Linked DNA regions of Sus scrofa. The protein of the gene in region 2 purifies or fractionates together with the protein of the main gene of each other region. This does not show direct contact. Links are inferred from orthologs where the notes say so. Each region holds a gene or a part of one and is shown on either strand. Other genes may lie near its edges.

Region 1 (4,121 bases), on a different chromosome or scaffold from region 2:
CATGCTGATTTTTCTGGAATGAACTCTACTCAACCCCCAAAGACAGTTTCCAAAGGCAGACCCAAACATGTTATAGACATGACATCAAAGGCAAGGGATGTGACCGCTCTGAAGGAAGCCCCATTCACTTGGATAGGCATGTTTTCTAGTGGTTCTCTTTACCAGAATATTTCCTCAGGTCTAAATCTATTTTACGTCATGGGACCACAGTTCCTAGGAGTACAAGGACCTCACTGTTTTAGTCAACTTTTAATCTCCAACCAGGGCACTTGATGGGTGTCCAAGGCATAGCTGATGGAAAGATCAATATGGGGGAAGAATGTCTAAGGTGTCTGGGACTTACTCTGTGTGATTCAAAGGGCAGAACTAGGGCCCCGAGTGGGGCGCTGGAGACACAAACTTCTGCTTCTTGTAAGAAAGAGCTGTCAGCAGCTGGAGCTGTCCAGCAATGGAGTTAGTCTGCCCTGAAATTGGGAATGGTAAACTTCCCACCCAGGGAGGAGTTTAAAAAGTCAAGGCTGCTTATTATGGGAATCCTGGAAGGTTGCCCCTATGATGGGGAGCTATGCAGTGCCCTCCAAGGGCTATACCCTGAGTCCAATCTGCACAACACCTAGCAATTGGTAGGCCCTGAAAAAATACTGGAATGGAATGAATGAGGAATACGGTGCATCCTGAGAGCCAAGTAAAGGGGAAGAGCCTTCAAAGAAAGGAGGGAGAAATGAAAAGAGGAAGGGAGCCTTGAGGCAGGGCCTTCCTTGAGTTTTTGGTACCACAGGGGAGAAGCTGCTTTGCACACCTGAAGCCTCACATGTTTATGAAAGGGTAATATTTCCAAAGGGATAGGGGTTGAGAGAGGAGATACACCACATGCTCACCCTTCTTAAACTCCTCCAGCACCGTGTCCAGCCGGGTATCATTGAAGACGCAGTGCAGGGGCCGGTTGTAGAAGCGGGTGACGGTGAGGAGCGGCGTGCAGTCGTCGGGGTCCACGAAGGCCAAGTCCTTGACAAACAGAATGTCCACAATGTTGTGCCGCTGGTCGCCTTCGTACACGGGGATGCGAGTGTAACCGCTGCGCAGGATCTCGGAGACAGTGGCGAAATCCAGCACTGCGTCGGAACGCAGCATGAAGCAGTCCCCAAGGGGGGTCAGCACCTCCTCTACCACCTTGGTGCGCAGCTCCAGGGCGCCTTGAATGATGTTGAGTTCTTCCTTTACCAGGTCGCTGTAAGGGTCCGCGGCCCTCAGCGTCTCCAGCAGCTTCTCCCGCGTGTAGAAGGTGCTGATCTCTTGGCGCAGTGCCCAGTCCAGCAGGCGGCCCAGCGGGTAACACACGGGGAAGGCGGCCGCCATCAGGAGCCGGGTCAGGCACACGCTATGCGAGGCAATGGCCAGTCCGTGCCGCGAACACACAGAGTAGGGGCAAATCTCGGCGCCCAGGAACACAGCGCCTGTGCACACCAGCGCCGGCAGCCACGGGAAGTGAATCCCCGCGTCTCCATAATCTTCCCCGGCGTCCCCGACGCCCGGGGGCAGCGAGGCGTACAGCCAGCCCGCCAGGGCCGCATTGGCTCCGGCTTGGCCCAGGAGCAGGGTGCAGAGCAGATGGGTCCCCCTGCCGCGCACGGCCTGCACTCGGCGCGCCTGTTCCTGCTCGGCGGCTGAGCCGCTGTTCCGCAGCACCCGTAACTCCACCGGGTCCAGCGAGAGCAGGCTCAAGCGCAGGCCGCTGAACAGGGCAGACAGGGCGAGCAGCAGGAGAGCTCCGAGCGCCCGCAGCCACGCGGGGGGCAGAAGGTCCCCGCCCGGGCCATACAGCCGCGGGCGGACGCGCAGCAGGAAGCCACCGGCAGCGCCGTGGTGGTGCCAAGCGCGCCCGTCCCAGGCGCACAGCGAGAAGAGCTTCCCGCCACCGCCCGCGCCGCTTCGCTCTGCCTCGCCCTTGCGCAGCTCCCGCACCCGCACCTGGACTAGAGCCGAGCCCGCCACGCCACCGGGGCGCAGGGGCCCCAGGACCTCCACGTCCGACGCCCAGTCGCTCTGCTCGCGGCAGCGCTGCGGCCCCGGGGGGCGCGTGGGGACAGCGCTGGGGGCCACGCCGCTCCCGCCCGGGGGCTCCTCGATAAACACCAGCCGCGGTGCCCAGTCACCGGTGCCGTTCTCCCCCGGGGAAAGGGTGGGTGCGGGCACCGGCGCCACGGGCGCCGCGGGCCCTGGCTGGAAATAGACGCGCAGAAGGAAGCTTGTGCCTTCAGCGGCGCGCAGGGTGCCCCCCTCCAGGGACACGCGGCCTCCAGCGGTGTCCTCGGGCCGCAGGCCCAGCAGCCAGGCGGCGGCGGCCGGGGGCCGAGGGGACAGGGAGAAGAAGAGCAGGAGTACAGCGCCCTGGCTGCAGCAGTCTCGGAGCCTGAAACCCACCGCTGCTGCGGCCGCCGCCATCCTGCACTCGGCGCGGCTGCACGTGATACTGCAGAAAGCCGAGCGAGAGCTGGAGGGAGGAGGAGCCGGAGCCTGGAACCCTGCCCCAGGCAGGTCACCACGTGTACGCCTGCGGCCCGCGTGAGCACTAGGCGAAGGGGGTTCAGACCCTGCCCCGCCCGTGGGTCCCCGCGGGAAGCGGGAGATGGTCACCCCATCACTGCTTCGCGCATAACCCCGACGCACTTCAGTACCTCAGAGTTGCCGCCTAGGGAAAGCTTGCCTTGGAGCATGGCCTCCTACTCCAACACTAGGACGCCCCTCAGCGAACTCCTACCCGGCAGTAATTCCCTGCTGGCCCTCTGCTTCACCATTGGCTGGGGAAATTTCCCAGCCTTTCGCCTCTCCTCCTGCCTCTTGCGTTCCCCCTTCTGGTCAAAAGATATTCTAGAGACAATTCTTGAATCATTGTGTTTGGTCTCAACTCTAGCTGACCTTTCATGTTTCAAAAATTTCCAAACACTTAGGTTAAATTGGTTAAGACCCAGATGCCCATTAATAAGAAACTTTTGAAATAACAATACCACTGTGTGGTGAAATACTATGCAGCAGGAAAAAATAATGATATGGATCCATGAGTTTGTGATATGAAAATTATCTTCAAAGTAATGGTTGAAAAATATTAAGACACAGAAGAATGTGTATAATATGCTACTGTTTGCATTAAAGGTATATGAGTATAAATGTATATTTACATATATACATATATAAAATATTAGATTTAATATGAGGAGGATACACAAGAAATTTGTAATAATGTTCATCTCTGGGGAGTGGGTTCATAGCACAATACTAAAAGCAGGAATTTGACATTGGTACAATGTGTGTGTATAGTTTTATCTCACTTTTTAACCACATGTATAGATTTATATAAACATTGCTGCAATCAAAATGCAGAACTATTCTGTCACCATGAAGATCTAGGAGGGAGACTTTTTACTGAATTCTTTGTGTTATCTGAGTTTACCATAGGCCTATTAATTTACTTTTATACATTTATTTAAAATATCTCTATAGTTAAATTCACTTCTTGATGTATTGTTCTATGAGTTTTGACAAATACATATTCATGTAGCTATCACAATAAAAAATAGTGCCATCATCCTCCAATATTCCCTCTTACTGTCTCTTTGTAGTCAATTCCCCGCCCCCCGCCATTTTATCCGCTGGCAGCTACTGATATGTTCTCTCCTATAGTTTTCTTTTTCCAGAATGTTGTATTAGTGAAATAATACAATGCGTAGCTTTTTGGATCTAGCTTCTCTTAGCATTATGCATTTGAGAGTCATCCATGCTGTTGTAGTTATCAATAGGTCTTTCCTTTTTAACAACTGGGTAGTATTCTATTACATGGAGGTATCACGATTTGTTTATCCATTTACCAGTTAAATAACATTTGAGTTATTTTCAGTTTTGGCAATTATGAATAAAGCAGCCATAAATGTTTGTGTGCAGGTTTTCATGTGAACATATGTTTTCATTTTTCTTTGTGTAAATTTACCATAGGTCTGTGTAAAAGTAACTATAATTTGGCATACTACTTTTGGCACCTCTAATTTAATTTTAAAAAATCATATGTAAAATCTTATTTTTCATAGAGTTCCAAAGACATAGATTGAGAAAGACTTCAAAGGATAAAT
Region 2 (4,227 bases):
AACTTGTTATGTGAAGTATTACAAAGAAATGTATATACATAAATAATTCCCACTTATAACTATAAAAAAGCTGTTCATAATTTCAGTAAAAATTTTTTGATTGTAAAGCCCAAATTCCACTTATTCCATCTTTAACTAAAATCTAATCCAAAGAAAAGAGAGAAGGAGGTGGGGGGGAGGGGCTGAGGGCAGTGGTGTAAATTCCATTTTTTTCTCCCATGTCTCAAGAGCAAGATTACTACTACTACCAATCATGTTTTTCCTAAGGTCTTCTTAAGAAACCAAAACAGTTTTATGCCAATGTCAAATATTAAATGAATATTCACAGGGTATTTTCAGAATGAATACACAAAAAGCATTGATATTGCTGTTGCTCTTCTTCCAAGTACTTTATAAGGAGCTTGTGTGTAGTGTGGTTGGGAGTAAACAAAGGACAAACATTAAGAACAGGTTAATAACAGCACCAAGAACCAGCCACTGCCCCAAACACTTTACCTGAGACTGCAGTAACTGAAGTAATTCCAATTATATTTTCTACCTCAAATCCTAAATACTACTTCCTTGGAATAAAAAGTGTCTTCTGGCACCTTCCCAATGACGATAAATTAATTTGCAAAGCTGTTAAGGTCAAAGACTCTAATCTCAGTATTCTGACTTCCAGGTACTACTTTTTTCAAGTTAAAGGCGATCTGTAGAGAAACACACAATACTACTTCCATACTTAACTAAAATTCCTGTTACAGCTGTCTGGCCATATCCCTTCAACTAGCAATTTCTCACAAGGAAGCACAGAAAGCAATACAGAAATAATTCTTTCAGTGGACTGGATAGAGCCACCCAGTAGGGGACAGACGGGTGATGAATTTCCACAAAAGCGGAAGTGACTGTGCACACCTAACACCTTTCTGTTCTGCCCAGGACTTCCCCATTCCCAATGTCTTCGCCCCAGGAAAACCTATCCATGATAGGCAATCTAGAAATACCAAGGAATTTTTTCTTCTTCCACTTATCAGTTGTACATAATCACAATAATCTGTGTTAACTATTTTATCAGATGGTAGGTAGTTGCAATTTGTGCCTCATCTACCTATACCTTAGGCAATGCACCTGGAATATAACAAGTATAAAATGCTGATTAGTTTTCAGAATGATCTAGCTTTCTGATTTTCAACTTTTTCACTGCCACCAAACAAAATTCACATATAGAGTAACGGGAAGCACTGGCTCATAATCTAGATCTCAAGCAAATCGATAGTTCTAACTGCAGTGTAAATAACGATGAAATACATTTGGAACCGCAGAGGGTTCCACGGACAGAGATAAACCTCAGAATTCTGGCTCTGGCTGGGCCCTGCGATGCAAGCCAACAGGAGGCAACAAACACAGCACATCTGGGGTTTCAGGAAGTTCTAAGGGTGCCGGATTAAAAGGCGGCACCGGGCCCCCTTGGCTTCGCGCAGTGCGGCCCGGAAGCTTCCCCAGGCTCAGACCCAGGCCGCTTCCCTCCTGCCCCGCCCCGGAGCAGGGACGAGCCCGGACTTGCTCCCATTGTCCGGAGCCGGTGGGGCGGGGCGGGCCGCTCACCTGGTGGGGCCGCGCGGGCCCGGGTCACGGGTTCGCGCCGCGTCTTCAGTCCGGCGCCGAGGCCATTTTGTCCGAGCGCCGGCCGCAGCCGCGGGGCCCTGGGTGGCCGCACAGGCCCAATCCCGCCGGCTCCGCGAAGGAGTCCGGCCCAGCCCGCGAGCAGCCGCCTCGCCCACCCGCCCGCAGGGTCTGGGGGCGCGCCCGCTGCAGTGACGCGCAACCCGCGCCCCACCCGGGCCACGTCCCCGCTCCCGGGCCCTGCGGCAGACAAAGGGGCCTTGGGGCGCCGCCGGGTGCCGGAGCGAGGTGGTGGTCACAAAGCGGCTCCCGTGCCACCGCGCAGCCCGGCGCCCCGGGCTTGGCCCTCAGCGCTCGCCCGCCAGTACCAGCGGGACCCGGGCGGAGCCAGGCTCCGAACAAAGGCGGCGGCACGGGGTACGGGTACTCACAGGAATATGTCTACTCATTGAAGATTGTGGCTTAATCATACAGCCGGTCCCGAGGCGGCGGCGACACAGGCGGCAGCGGTAGGGCAGGGGTGGCGGTGGTCCTCGCGGGCTAGCGGCGGCTTCGCTGGAGGCAGCGAGGGCAGTGGACTCGATCCTGCAGCGAGCGGCTCCGGGGAGAGCGCGCAGCCTCGCCGGCCCGCAGCCCAATGAGCCAATACGTGCGCCGAGGCGCCCTTGCGTCACAAGCCCTCTTATTTATAGCAAGAGTGACGTGAACGCCCAGGCGGCCAATCGCAGTCGGGCCTCAATCCTAGCGCCGACGAGCGGGGGCGGAGGCCCGCCTCGCCGACGTCACAGCGCGGCGGCGGCCGCCGGTGTGAACCGGTTGATGAATGGCGACCGGCTGCAATCAGAGCGCCTACCAGGCGGGGGTGGGAAGGGTCATTGGAGGGTCTGCAGGGGAAGCCCCGTACGGGGATGAGAGGCTGCTCTACGTAACTAAACCCCTGACGAGTGCACTCTCATCTCAGGAGGAGGCCCGAAGTTGGCCTCAACTAGAATGCAGTGCACTTCGGACTGGAGCGTAGTCTCAATCCCAGGCCTACTTCTTTTGCCGTAAGTCAGATCCCAGTCATTTTGACCAGCGGTTTGCCTGGGCACCTGCGCCCTGCGATCCCCAACGTGAAATCTTCCTGTGGCTCCACCTGCCCGCGACAACACCTGTGATGTTTCGGTCCTGCCCCCGGTAGCGCGAGCGGAGAGGACTTATTTCAGCAAACATTCGTGTATAGAAAACGGAGAGTGTCTTGTGATGCAGATAAAGCCCTCTGTTCCCCAGTCTTTTTTGGTCACGCCTTCATGCTACGCACGCGGGCAACTGTAGTTGGCTCAAGCGTGGCATTTCTAAATCACAGGCATCCTTTGTACTGCTGCTCACTTGATGTGTTGTCACAGATAATAAAAGGTTAGGCAGCGTTTTAAAAATTAAGAATCTTCGATTTTGCCAGACTGATGTGATTCTTTGCCTCAAAGCTATTGCTTTCCTTTTTGTTCATTTTCAGAACTGTTCCACTGTTCGTAATTTAGACTTTTAGGAAGTAAAGCCTTATCACAGTTGTTCTGTCTTGCACCCGGGCAATTCTGTCTTTTATGATCTGAAAACTCTTTCTCTTCTGGAAGGAGTAAACAGGAGTTTTACCTGCTTTGAAGAACTAGGTTTTCTACTCAGGCCTTTTGTTTGCTGTTTTCACTGAGCATAGATTGGAGAGGGCTTTAGGGATCAAATTGTTTTCTTGGTCAGTGTACTGCAGCATCTTAGGATTTATTAAAACGTCTACTTAAGAGACTGTGCTTGTGTAGACAACTTTTTAAAAATTTTTATTGGAGCATAGTTGATTTACAATGTGTTTCAGGTGTATAGCAAAGTGATTCAGTTATACCTATATCCCTTCTTTTCCCCACATAAATTATTACAGAATATTGAGTACAGTTCCCTGTGCTATACAGCAGGTCCTTGTCAGTTATCTGTTTTATAAAGAATATTGTGTATATGTTAATCCCAAACTCCTAATTTATCCCTCCTCCAACCTTTCTTCTCTGGTAACCATAAGTTTGTTTTAAAAGTCTGTGAATCTGTTTCGGTTTTGTAAATAAGTTCATTTATATCATTTTTTTTTTAGATTCCACATATAAATGATATTATGACATTTGTGATATTCAACTTTGTTTATAAGCATATACTCTGCAAACAAAGTGCTTTCAAAAAAATAAAGAACTGGATCAGGCAGGCTTTCACAGGAACAGAAGTCATCTTCATTTTAAAGAAATTGCTTGCCTAGGACACTTCTGAATCCATCTACATCAAGGAAGATTAAAGAGCTTGAGAAATATATGATGTCCCTTCACAAACTATAAACGAGTAAAAATGTAAATATTTAAAATCCTAAAAAAAATAGGAGTATTGAAAAAATTGTCCTAGGATGAGAGAAACCTTGTTAAGAAGATAAGGGAACTCAAGTCACAAAGGAAAAGTCAGATTTCATTATGTAAAAATTTAAAACTTTGATATGGAAAAGCTTGAGCAACATATACAATAGTGTAGGTAAAAAAATAAAAAAATAAAAATAAAAAAGGAGTTCCCGTTGTGGCTCAGTGGTTAACGAATCCAACTAGGAACCATGAAGTTGAGCGTTTG

What was found. The genes of interacting proteins can lie anywhere in the genome.
Region 1: the proteins of PTP4A1 (region 2) and CNNM1 purify together in Homo sapiens (affinity purification with mass spectrometry; 4 studies listed by BioGRID and IntAct, with this or other methods). This does not show direct contact. The link is inferred for Sus scrofa from reciprocal best matches to the Homo sapiens genes PTP4A1 and CNNM1.

The regions. Positions count from the first base shown.
Region 1 is NC_010456.5:110,538,060-110,542,180, reverse strand, and holds the start of CNNM1 (metal transporter CNNM1), read right to left. Parts: upstream 2,808-4,121; 5' UTR 2,443-2,807; coding exon 879-2,442; intron 1-878. UniProt on the Homo sapiens protein: Probable metal transporter.
Region 2 is NC_010443.5:45,168,503-45,172,729, reverse strand, and holds the start of PTP4A1 (protein tyrosine phosphatase type IVA 1), read right to left. Parts: upstream 2,818-4,227; 5' UTR 2,034-2,817; intron 1-2,033. UniProt on the Homo sapiens protein: Protein tyrosine phosphatase which stimulates progression from G1 into S phase during mitosis. May play a role in the development and maintenance of differentiating epithelial tissues.